Oryctolagus cuniculus: one gene and its partners. The protein of the gene in region 3 interacts with the protein of the main gene of each other region in a biochemical or structural test. Links are inferred from orthologs where the notes say so. Each region holds a gene or a part of one and is shown on either strand. Other genes may lie near its edges.

The links. The genes of interacting proteins can lie anywhere in the genome.
Region 1: the proteins of RBSN (region 3) and RAB5C form a complex in vitro, tested with the Homo sapiens proteins (2 studies listed by BioGRID and IntAct, with this or other methods). The link is inferred for Oryctolagus cuniculus from reciprocal best matches to the Homo sapiens genes RBSN and RAB5C.
Region 2: the proteins of RBSN (region 3) and RAB5A form a complex in vitro, tested with the Homo sapiens proteins (3 studies listed by BioGRID, with this or other methods). The link is inferred for Oryctolagus cuniculus from reciprocal best matches to the Homo sapiens genes RBSN and RAB5A.

Annotation. Positions count from the first base shown.
Region 1 is NC_091448.1:20,642,841-20,647,024, reverse strand, and holds the start of RAB5C (ras-related protein Rab-5C), read right to left. Parts: upstream 2,806-4,184; 5' UTR 2,647-2,805; intron 2,467-2,646; exon of another isoform or gene 1,731-2,466; intron 1-1,730. UniProt on the Homo sapiens protein: The small GTPases Rab are key regulators of intracellular membrane trafficking, from the formation of transport vesicles to their fusion with membranes.
Region 2 is NC_091435.1:155,566,528-155,570,772, reverse strand, and holds the start of RAB5A (ras-related protein Rab-5A), read right to left. Parts: upstream 2,806-4,245; 5' UTR 2,791-2,805; intron 2,744-2,790; exon of another isoform or gene 2,609-2,743; 5' UTR 2,297-2,608; intron 1-2,296. UniProt on the Homo sapiens protein: The small GTPases Rab are key regulators of intracellular membrane trafficking, from the formation of transport vesicles to their fusion with membranes.
Region 3 is NC_091441.1:113,935,169-113,938,743, forward strand, and holds part of RBSN (rabenosyn-5), read right to left. Parts: intron 525-3,575; coding exon 384-524; intron 1-383. UniProt on the Homo sapiens protein: Rab4/Rab5 effector protein acting in early endocytic membrane fusion and membrane trafficking of recycling endosomes. Required for endosome fusion either homotypically or with clathrin coated vesicles.

The DNA.
Region 1 (4,184 bases), on a different chromosome or scaffold from region 3:
AACCTGCTGACTCCAAAGCCCTAGTGCCCCCCATCCCACCACACCGCCTCTGTGTGTGCTGGGCAGGGGTTACAGGAAGAAGCCTCTTCTAAGAAGCACTTGCTTGGTAGGGCTGAACTTGAACTCCTGACCTCCTTGTTTCCAGTAAATTCAAGTGAAGGCGCGTCACCTCGGGCAGCACTGCAGGGCAGCCGGAGGCCCTCCCGCCCTCACTGGGGCCCAGGAGGCCCCCGAGCCCAGTGGCTTTCACTTTCACTTTCCAACCATCAGCCGGCAGGTTCCCAGGAAACTGACGGCAGTCAGATGTCAGCGAACTTGGGCCCTGCAGAGCACCAACTCCTGTCAGGGCCCCTGCAGGCAGAGCACAGGGGGCCAAGGAGGAGGCCAGGAGGCCGGGGTGAAGATGGGGGAAGAGATGGGAAGCAGAGCAGCGCCAGGGACAAGGATGGTGCAGGGGCTCAGAGCCTGCACTGTGCCCCTGATGCTCACCCTACCTGTTCATTCATTTAAGGGCCAGTCACTAGGGAAGGCCGAGGTCACATCTGAGCCCAGATCCCAAGCCTCAGCGCCATCACCTCCTAACCGCGTGGTCTTAGGCATCATCTCCAATGTGGAAATGCAAATCTCACTACCTCCCAAGGAACGTGTGAGGGACGTGTGTGAAAAGAAGTCTGCAACTCTGCAATGACCTAAAGCAATTAGCAGTTACCATCACCCTGTAGTATAGCAGCAGAAAAAAGGCCAGCTCGCTGTGACGGGCCCAGGGAAGGAGGGAACATGTTAGAGAGGAGGGGCTTCTGCCCCACACAGAGCCCTCCCTCTGCCAGGCAGGGTTCGTCCTGTTACGATGCTTTAATTTTTGGAGGCCAGAGTGGCTACACAGCCACCCAGAGCTGTACAGCCTTCCCCACTGTTCTGAACAGGGAGCTGCTCTTCCCGAAGCCTGCTTCCGAGTCAGAGCTGCAACGCAAAGAAGAACCCCTCGGACGGCCGCTCGGCCTCATCCCTGCACTGCTGCAGCGCTCCGCCAGCCACGGCCCACCCCGTCAGAACCAGCGGCCCTGCCCTCAGCCCCACAGCCCCACCAGGTCCGATGAGGAGGGCGGACAAAGTCTCCAAGGAGCCCACACGGGCTCAGGGCTCGTGATCCAGCTGTTGAGCCCAATAAGGAAGTTTTGCTTTGTTGTCCAATAAAAAGTGAAACAAGTGCGTTCAAGACCGAGCTCAAAAGACTGTAGGGACCACACACTAGCAACTGTCCAGAGCAGCAAAAAAGATCTCAAAGCAGAAACACCTTTAACACTGGGAAGCAGCAGCCAAGGGCAGTGAGGGCGGCCCAGGAACACCAGGAGCTCCGGCGATTCCGGCAGCGTGGGGCTCTCCTCCCTTCCTCCCCTGCAGATAGCAAGGGTCAGTCCTGGCCTCAGGCAAGCTGCTCCTCATTAAGGTAGTCTCTGGCCTGTACTTTGGCCACGTAACAGAACGGTCTAGCCTGGTCTGAGACAGCAGCCATTTCACACACCCAGTTCCTAAACAACAGAGTAGGATCCTATGGCAAAACAGCCGGGGGGAGGGGAGGGCAGCCCTTTCTAGCAGATTTGGGAACTCCTCTTGCTACAGAAATTAGCTAAGAACCCAAGACTGCCACTGTGCCCTCGACTCATTGGTCTGTAGTACGTCCAAGCCCCGGGGACTGAGGCGAGGCCCCGGTGAGGGTGGACCTGTTGCTGGGGCGGCGGTCGAGTGTGTGTGTCTGGGAGCAGCAAAGAAACGGTCCTTCAAGCCCCAGCTCCTCACTTCTCTGGGCTTATTCTCTCCTCTACAGCCCAGCGGACAAGGCAGTCCCGCAGAGGCAGCTTGGGGAACCGCTCACGTGCTCTCGGGAGGACAGGGCTGAGCCTGGAGCCGAGGGGGAGGAGTAGGGGAGCCAGAAGATAATGAATGGGCAGAGCCACCCTGACCTAGCATTGAGCAAACCTCAGCTGAATTCTTCAGAGGCAGGAAGAGAGATACACTCAAGAGGACAGGGCCGGGGGACAGCGGGGACAAAACAAGAAGGCTGCTCGTTCCCAAGGAGTGCCCCGCGCCCCAGACTCCGCTGAGGTCCTGGCTGGCTCTCTGGCTGGAGGAGGGAGAACGAGTCGGGAGTTGTGGGAGCACACACACTTCTATGCGCGTGGAGTCGCCTCCCCCAGACCACCCTCCCCCAAAGGAAATCGAGACAAGACTTCTCCAGGGCTGGCGGGGGACAACTGCTTCTGTGGGACCGGGGTGGGGGGGACACGGCGACAGACAGCCCTCCCCGCCACCTCTACGGGAGAAGAGGGGCAGGTTCCTGCACACCTGGCAAAGACCGGCCGATTCTGGGAGCAGGGAGAGCGGAACTCAGGGTCCCTCTCCGCCGCGACTGGACTGGACAGGCCAGAGGAGAGCCGCAGGGGTTTCCCCAAGGTTCACAAAGGGCAGGTAAGTCGAGGAAAGAAGGGATCTTCCTGTGGCCTGACGCCTGCGGAGCGCCTTAAGAAGGGGCTACGGGTCGGGGGAGGGGTCAGTATCCCCCTAAGATAGGGCTGGGCAGAAGGAAGGGCTGCCCCGCAAAGGCAACTGGGCTGGAGAGACACTGGATCCCAGGACAGGCACACTCACAGCGGCTCCGGGGACGGCGGCGTTACTTGGGGACGGGGCTCGGACAGGTTTCGCTCCTCTCCCCCCCGGCGGTGTCCCAGGCTCCGGCCTCCACTTCCGCCTTTCAGCCGCTCCGGATCCGGATCTCTACCTCCGCCCCGCCCCTCTTACTCCCAGGTGACTGACAGGGCGGAGAAGCCAATGGGAGGCCCTCCTGGCCGACCCATAGGCGGTGCCGGTGAGGGTCGCGGGAGAGGCGGGAGAGAGCGAGCGAGGGACGGCGGGACTTGTAGTTCGCAGCACTGGGCGGAGCCGTCGCCTGCTTGGGACTTGGCCTTAGGGTGGAGCCGGCTGGGGCGAGGCGGAGCCGGCCTGGGCTGCTAATCGCGTCACTGCGGGTTCCAGGAGCCCCGAGGGAAGGCGAATGGCTGCGGAGCGATGGGAGAGGGCAGACGACTGTGTGTGTAGAACTGGGGAGGGGGCAAACGTGATGTGAATGAGTTCGTACGGGAGGCCGCGTGGGTCTCGTGCACTCGCTAACTGGGAGCAGCCCCTGGCCACGCTTCCTGAAGTTGGGGGCACTGTGTGATGGGGAAGGCGCTCTGGGATGCTAGGTGACATAGAAGGGGGCGCTTTATAAACCCTCCTGCGTTGGGCTGGTCCCTAGACACACAGAACCACCTCTGCCCCTCTACCCCTCCCCACACCCGACTGGAAGCAGATACAGAGCTGGATACCTGCTGCCTCAGCTGGAATCCCCACCCCCACGTAGGTTGAGACATTTCCGACGCCTCTCCCTCAGGTTTAGGGCCACTTCTCCTTATTCTCCCCGCCCCCCCTTCCCCTCCTCAGCCCCTCACCTCCCAACACAAGCCAGTACCTCTCCTATTTCTTCCTCTCACTCCTCAGGGACGCTACCCAAAAGCCCTATGGAATCTGTCTGTGACAGCCGCCATCACCCGTCGTAGCCTAGAGGCTGAGCTGCAGAATCTGGCTGCACATCTGGCTGCAGCTGGTTAGCAGGTGCTTCTTTCTTTAGAACATCCACAGCTCCCCTCCTCCTGGCAGCCACCATCAGAGAAGTGAAAGCTGGGAGGGCTTGGGAGGGCAGGGGGCATGGGGCAGGGTGAGATTCCCACCAGGAGCTTGGCTGGTGCCCAGCTCTTCTCCCAGCGCCTGCTGCACGGAGCCCAGCAACCCCTCCCTGGGTAGGAAGGGTAGGGAGTCCCCTGGGCACTCCTTGCCAAGGCTGGAGGTAGGCCTGAGCCAGGACTCTGTCCCTCCCACATACGTGTATCTGGTGAGGGGGGGAGGAGGGCACATAACAGGCCCGTGGTGACTCATTAAGGTCTCTTCCTCATCCCTGGGGCCCCTGGTGGCGTGAATGTGGTGCCAAGTGGATTGCTTGGCTCCTCTGCCCTTGCTGGAGGTGACAACAGGGCTCTGGGGTATGGTGAGGGAGTGGCTGCCGGGCTGCCTCCTCCATAGCCGTGGCTCTCAGAAGAAGCCGGAGCCAGCAACTCCAAAAATAAAGTTTATTTCCTATCCAAAAGTTAGAC
Region 2 (4,245 bases), on a different chromosome or scaffold from region 3:
AACCAAGGCTCCCAAATGTGCTAATTTTCAATTTCAAAGGAATTAGCAAATATTTGAAGAGCACTTTTCAACCTATTCACATCTTTAATAAAAATATGATTATATGCTTACTAATATACTAAATATGATTTCCTCTCTAAAAATGTAGCTATACTTCACTGAGTTACCTCATATAAGAAATTCGCCTTCCCTATAAAATTTTAGTTTTTATGAGACATATTATTGACAATTCACTAATATATTGATATCTTAATTCTAGACAATTAAGTTCACTTCTTGGCTTTATCTAAAACTCCAGCTTTGAAGCGTCTTTAACAGTACATGCTGATATATTTACAGATGAAATGATGTTTAAGCTGCTTCCAAACATAAGGTACAGGGGCTGGCACTGTGACATAGAGGATAAAGCTGCCGCCTGCAGTGCTGGCATCTCATACAGGTGCTGGTTCGAGTCCAGGCTGCTCCACTTCTGATTCTGCTCTCTGCTATGAACTGGGAAACCAGCAGAAGATGGCCCAAGTCCTTGGGCCCCTGAACCCTCATGGGAGACCAGGAAGAAGCTCCCGGCTCCTGGCTTTGAGTCAGCGCAGCTTAGGCTGTTGCAGCCATCTGGGGAGTGGACGAGCGGATGGAAGACCTCTCTCGATCTCTCCTCTCCTCTCTCTGTGTAACTCTTTCAAATAAATAAATCTTAAAAACAAACGAACACACACCATAAGGTACAAATAAAACTACTTCCCCATACTGTCCCAAACACAGTAAACTTGGGAGTTTAATCCTGGTAGTACCAATTTCTGTCTGGGCCAATTTTTTAATTTTCAAACTACATAATTTGCATAGTTGCCAGTTAATCACGTGATACAATATATATAATCTCTAATACAGTACCTATCATACAGCAGGGTTTGAATGGACAACTAAAGTGGCCCTTTGGTTACATGTCAAACACCAATAGAATGTCGTATAGGCAGAAAACGCACCAATTCGCTTTCAGGAATAAACATAGTTGAAACACTTCCCAACAGCCTCTTATCTACAAAACTGCTGATCATTTATCAAGGATACCATGTTCTGAATTTCTACAGTACTTCTGAAAATTTAGGGAAAACACCAGACACCCATAAAAAAGTCAAGCAAAATTGTGATTTACGTTTGCCTTCTAAGTTTTGAAGCCACTGAATCCTTATGCTACAAGGATCTCTAACAGGAAATAAATCAAAAACAGCGTAATATTAACAAGGTAAAAACTGCGTGCATTTACTCGTATTCACACTTACTGAGAATTCTCCCAGTTTTGCCAAACAAGGACTTTGCATTGTATGCATTTTTAAACTTGGAAATAACTAGTGTTCTGTAGTGCTCTTTTGCTCTTTTTAGGTCCTCTTTGATCAAAAAATCACTGGGTACTCATTCTGTGCCTGGCATGGTTACCAAGTACTTTGCTTACAACAACCCTAAGTGTTCAAACTATCTGCATTCGACAGTGAAAAGAACAAAGTTTCTGAGGAGTCCAGAATATTCCCGGAGTAGTGTAACAGTTTGATTCCACTTAAGCCAGGCCAAAAAAAATCAAATACGTAAACTAGGATGCTAGGAGCTTAAAAAGTCTGAAAGTCTCGAGGGGCTGACCAGTTCCCAGGGAAGACAGCATCAGGGCAGGTCTCCTGGTTTACCCACCAAGGGAGCTGTACGGCGGCCCAGTTACCTTTAATTTCCTTAAAGCTGCGGCTCGCCACCTGCCAGTCTCCAGAGCGGTTGTCTGGCTGAGCCTCCCAGCCCTTCCATTACCCATCTTTCGAAGGTAGGCGGAGCTCCCCAGATCCACACCTGCCCTAGGCCCCGGTCCCTGCTTGCAACACCTGAGCAGCTGAGAGCCGACTCCGGATCGCCCGAACAAACAGTACCCGCCAGGGCTCTGGGCCGTCCCGCCACCCTCCTCCCTTAAACCTGCACGGCTCTCCCTGGGACCCCCGGGCTGTCTGGAGAGGCCGGGCGGAACCACGGCCTCCGGTACTCTTTCCGCGGCGCCATCTTGAGAAGGGAAGAGGGTGACACCCGTCGGCTCCCTCACCCAGTCCCCAAATCGCGGTCTCCACCAGAACCCCTGGCGGCATGAGTCACCAGGGCTGGCAGGCCGACAGGCCCGGGTGCGGTAGCTCTGTGGTCCCGGAGACGGGCGCAAGTCGGGGAGGACGTGCTGGGGGCCCCGCCGCCCGCACAGCCGCGGGCAGGATGGAGACCGCGGCTCAGCCCAGCTCCAGACCCGCTCTGCACAGGGGAAGGCTGGTCTGGTTACCTGCGGCTGCGGCACGCGGGGCCGCGGCACCGCAGCTTGCTGGCGGCAGGGAGCAAGCGTGGCCCGAAGGACGGCAGCGAAGCGGAGGCTGTGGCGGCGACGGCGGCGTCTCCTCGCGTCGCTCGCCTCACACCGGACCGTGCGGGGCTGGAGCCGTGGTGCCGCCCCTGCCGGGCTCCGTCTCCGCCTCTCCGCGCTCCGCCTTTCTCTTTCCTTTCTCCTCCTCCGCCGCCGGCGCTCAAGTTCCGACGAATTCTTCCTCCTCCTCCTCCTCCCTCCTCCGCCTCCTCCCCTCAGGCCGGCCGCCGGCTCCTTCAAGAACCAAAACACAAACACTCAAGTCCCAACGCGGGAGCCACTTCCGCAGCCGGGCGCCGGCCCCGCCGCCACGTCGCTGCGCGCAGCGAGAGACGCCGCTTCGTCACTTCCGGTCGGCGCCAGTCCGTCCCGCCCCATCCGCTTCCCCGCCCCTCTCGAGGCGCACCCAGCCCTACCGGGGAGGGGGCGGGGCGCGGCGGGCTGTCACGTGGCTCTGCGCTGGGGCGGGTTTTACTGCCTTGTTGTGTCTGCGCCACGCCGGTTGCGCGCGACCGCGCCCTCGCAGCTCTTTTGTCAGCAGGGCGGAGGCCTCTGGGCTCCTGTGACTGGGGCTGGGTGGGGTATCCCGTGCTGCCCTGCTTTGGGGGAAGACCTAAGGCGCTTGAGTTTGTTGCGCCCAGCCCTTTGTTGTAAGTGTGAGCTCACAGTCCCCTCCATCCCGCCCCGCACCACCCCAATCCTGGTGACTTGGCCTAAGGGGTTTTTTTGAGGGAGGTTGTAACAGGAGACACGCCTACTGTGTCCCTGAGGCCAGGTGTGTCTGTAAAGGAAGGTAAGTCGTTTGTACCGCCGGCAGGAAGCTAGGACCCTCTGCATCCTAAAGCCGTCTTTAGTGGCAAAGCATTAAAACAGTTGGCACGTAAGAAGCGCTTACCTGTTTTTGGTAGGGTACATGTTAAGCAAACCTGTTGTTCAGATTTCCCTTTGGGAGTTACAGTACTAAACGTTTTACAGTAGGTACAAGTCTTTGTGAAACCAGCTTGTGAATCGTCGTGTGGGCACATTAACACTAACTTCCCAAACTGGTCCTCACCTCTGTGAACCTGGCTAGCACGTGGCCAGGCAGCTAAGAATCTTCAGGCATGGCTTTGGGATTAATGAATGAGGCGTGCCTGCTTTACAGGTAACGCGCTCGAAGCACAGAGATTGTGTAACTTGTACAAGACTGGGAATTCTTTTTAAAGATGTATTTATTCAAAAGGCAGAGTAACAATATTTCTTCCATCCACTGACTCACTTCCCAAATGGCTGCAATGGCAGGGCCTGGCCTATGCTGCCAAGAGGCTTCAGCTCCTTCCTGGTCTCGCAAGAGAGTATCAGGGGCTAAGTACTTGGGCCATCATCCCCTGCATTAGTAAATAAGGATTGGAAGCAGAGCAGCCTGGGTTCAGACTAGCTGTTCAAAAGGAGACTCAGCATTGCAAGTGGCAGCTTAACCTGCTGCCTGTGCCTTGACCCTCTGTGCTGCGTACAATACAATGCTGGCCCCAGAATGTCAGTTCTTATACAAAGTTCCGGTGAAAGACCACAACCTGAGCTGGTTGTTGCCCTCTGCAGCAGATCCTCTTAAGCATGCTTTGGTAAAATCCCAGATCATAGTTAGTTTCTGGAAAGCGTCTAAAACCAACCCCTCTCCCCTTGATCGTTGCTTTTTCCCCAGAATAAGGGATGCTTTGCAGTTTATAATTTACAACTTACAGTCCTGCTGTGAAGGCATGAATATTGTCTTTGGAGTGTACCTGGGCTAAGGTATCCTGTGAGTGCTCGGTCAACATTGTGCAATGAAGATGATTTGAACCCTTGACTAACTAGCTCGTCTTTCAGCACCTCCCCAGTTACTAGAAGAGCAT
Region 3 (3,575 bases):
TAAATAGATGGTGCCATAACCATGCATTTTAGAAAAGTATGTCTCTCCCTAGTCAACAATGTCCCGGGTGAGAGTAGACAGCCCAGCAATGGAGCCAGCCCAGGCTGATGTCAGAGACCTGGAATCACACCCCACGTGTGCAGATCACCATCTGTTTGACCCCAGGCAGGTTCTCGTGGGGTGCAGTGAAGAATCAATGAGAGCACCCGTATATAGTGGTGAACAGCACTGACAGAGCACACGCACACCTCCTTCTTTTCCAGTCCCTCATTTCTCAACGTGGTTCTTGAGAAGGTTAGGCCACTTTGATTTATGCTGCTTCCTCAACCACTTCTTAAAACACTACGTAGCACAAGGTAGCCAGAATGAAATGATTTTCTTACCAAGTTCTTGGGGTTCCCACATGTAAGGATCAACCCCTCCATAGCTGAAAGACTCATATCCTTGGGTCCCTGATTCTGCTCGATCATCACCTTCTCGTTTCAACAACTTGTTCTTTGCTTTCTTAGCCTTCTGGACAAGACCTTTAAACATACAACACAAATGATCCTGTTTAGAACACCCATAACAAGTCAAGGGAAATCTCAAAAACAATAATTGATGGACTACATGTCCTTTGTTTAAAAAAATGTACAAGAAATACTTGGATCCCAAATGAAATGCAACAATAAATATCTAAACACTCTATTACAAATACCACAGAGCTAATAGTCAGTATGAGCATTAGGATTGTTTATGTGGCCAATATATAGGCTTACTATTACACTTTTTTTAAAATATTTATTTCTTTATCTGAAAGTCAGGAGCCAGGGTTGTGACAGAGCAAATTAAGCATCTGTCTGCGACACCAGCATCCCATTTGGGTGCCGGTTTGAGAACTGGCTGCTCTACTTTCAATCCAGCTCCTGAATGGTCCAAGAGCTTGGGCCTGCTACCCACGTGGGAGACCTGCAAGAAGCTTGTGGCTCCCGGCTTCAGCCTGGCCCAGTCCCGGCTGTTGCAGCCATCTATAACTCTGACCTTCCTTCCTTCCTTCCTTTTTTCTAGGACTTATTTACTTATTTGCAAGTCAGAGTTTCAGACAGAGGACTAGAATCAGATATCTTCCACTCACTGGTTCACTCCCCAAATGGCCGCAATAGCAGGGACAGGGCCAGGCTGAAGCCAGGAGTCAGGAGCTTCCTTCAGGTCTCCCACGTGGGTAGCAGGAGCCCACTTGGGCCATCTTCTGCTGCTTTTCCCAGGCCATTAGCATGGAGCTGGATCAGAAGTGGAGCAGCAGGACTCAATCCAGTGCCCATATGGGATGTCAGCATTGTAGGTGGCATCTTTATCACTACACTGCAACACTGGCCTTTCACTGCCTAATTTAAGAGCCCAATGAAATACAAGTGTTAAAACTAAATGCAATGCGGCCGGCGCCGTGGCTCAATAGGCTAATCCTCCACCTTGCGGCGCCGGCACACCAGGTTCTAGTCCCGGTCGGGGCGCCAAATTCTGTCCCGGTTGCCCCTCTTCCAGGCCAGCTCTCTGCTGTGGCCGGGGAGTGCAGTGGAGGATGGCCCAAGTGCTTGGGCCCTGCACCCCATGGGAGACCAGGATAAGTACCTGGCTCCTGCCATCGGATCAGCGCGGTGCGCCGGCCGCAGCGGCCATTGGAGGGTGAACCAACGGCAAAAGGAAGACCTTTCTCTCTGTCTCTCTCTCTCTCACTATCCACTCTGCCTGTTAAAAAAAAAAAATTAAAAAAAAACCTAAATGCAATGATGGAACCAGGGTGATGAAAGTGTTCTTTTCCTGTCTCTTAATTGGGATGGTGGTTATATGAGTATTCACGTTTGTCAAAACTTACTGTACACTGAAAAACTCATGTATAGGTGCCAGTGTCATTGAGCAGCAAGTTAAGCCACCATTTGTGACACTGGAATCCCGTACTGGGGTGCCTGCCTGTGTGCTGGCTGGTCCACTTCCACTCCAGCTTTCTGCTCATGTACTGGGATGGCAGAGAAGATGGATGGCTGCCACACATGTGGGAGATGCGGATGGAGTTCCTGGCTCCAAAGCTGGCTGTTGCAGCCATTTAGGGAGTGAGCCGGCAGATGCAAGATTTTTCTCCATTTCTCTCTCTACTCCCACCCACTCTGCGTCACAGTGGCTTTCAAATAAGTTCATAAACTCTTTTATAAACTTATATATAAACTTCTCAATTAAAATAAAAAATTTTTAATCAAATTCAATGGTGCTAATTTATTTACCCTTGATATTCACAAGTAAACACTTCTCATTTCTCGAGAGCCCTGGACAGGTGTTCTCCATAATCTACAATTGGACACAGAGCTTTTCTTTGCTCCATAGCTGCTTACCTGCTTACTGAAGATAAAGGTGATAATATTTACAAAAGCTTCAAGAAATACATATATCTGCAACCTAACACAAAGAGAACCAGGCTAGCAAGAAAATGAACATCTCCTGGACCGAGTCACTGTGGGAACCAGGCACAATGAAAGACATCTTCAAACACACTGTATAGTTCATTGCTCACAACTTCCAAAGGCAAGGCACAGCCCTGCCTACAAAGGAGGAAATGACAGCAAAGATGGAGAGAAACATGCTTCACTCAGGATCAGGAATCTCAGACACAAGAGGGCTGGAAGTGGACACCTCCCACTACTGTAACAAGAGCCCAGCTCCCCCACAGCTAGCACTGATTCACGAATGAGGCTTCTGCAGAACAGAGTTCTGCCACCTGTGCTGCGGTTCTGCAGGACCACAGTTAAAACGCAACAATCAACTGGCAAGGAATACAAAATAATTCTCAGTTCTAAACTGCTCTATCACTGGTGTCCTTAAGTCCTGGGTGACTGCTATCCCTTTCTGCCAAGGGTATCTGTGACATCATTCACAGCCTGTACAAAATTATCAACTTAAAAATTAGCCTGCAATAGGTTCATTGATTTTGAGTCCCACATGTGGTTGCCTTGGCAGGCAAAGGACAAAATGATTTCACCAGCTCAACGTTCCCCATCCCTGTAAAACTCTAGTACAAAATATCACATTTAATCCAAAATGTCATTAACATCTAATATCAATACCTCATAGCCGGCGCCGCGGCTCACTAGGCTAATCCTCCGCCTTGTGGCACCGGCACACCGGGTTCTAGTCCCGGTCGGGGCGCCGGATTCTGTCCCGGTTGCCCCTCTTCCAGGCCAGCCCTCTGCTGTGGCCAGGGAGTGCAGTGGAGGATGGCCCAAGTGCTTGGGCCCTGCACCCCATGGGAGACCAGGATGAGTACCTGGCTCCTGCCATCGGATCAGCACAGTGCGCCGGCCACGGCGGCCATTGGAGGGTGAACCAACGGCAAAAGGAAGATCTTTCTCTCTGTCTCTCTCTCTCACTGTCCACTCTGCCTGTCAAAAATAAAAAAAATAAAAAAATAAAAAAAAATCTCGTAGAGTTCTCATGACTCTGAAATGTCCTCTGACTTGAATGACATTAAAAATAATCCAGAGCTTTTATTTATTTTTTTCCACAGCTTTTCAAAACCCTAAGTAAATGCAGACATGGTGGCACGGGGT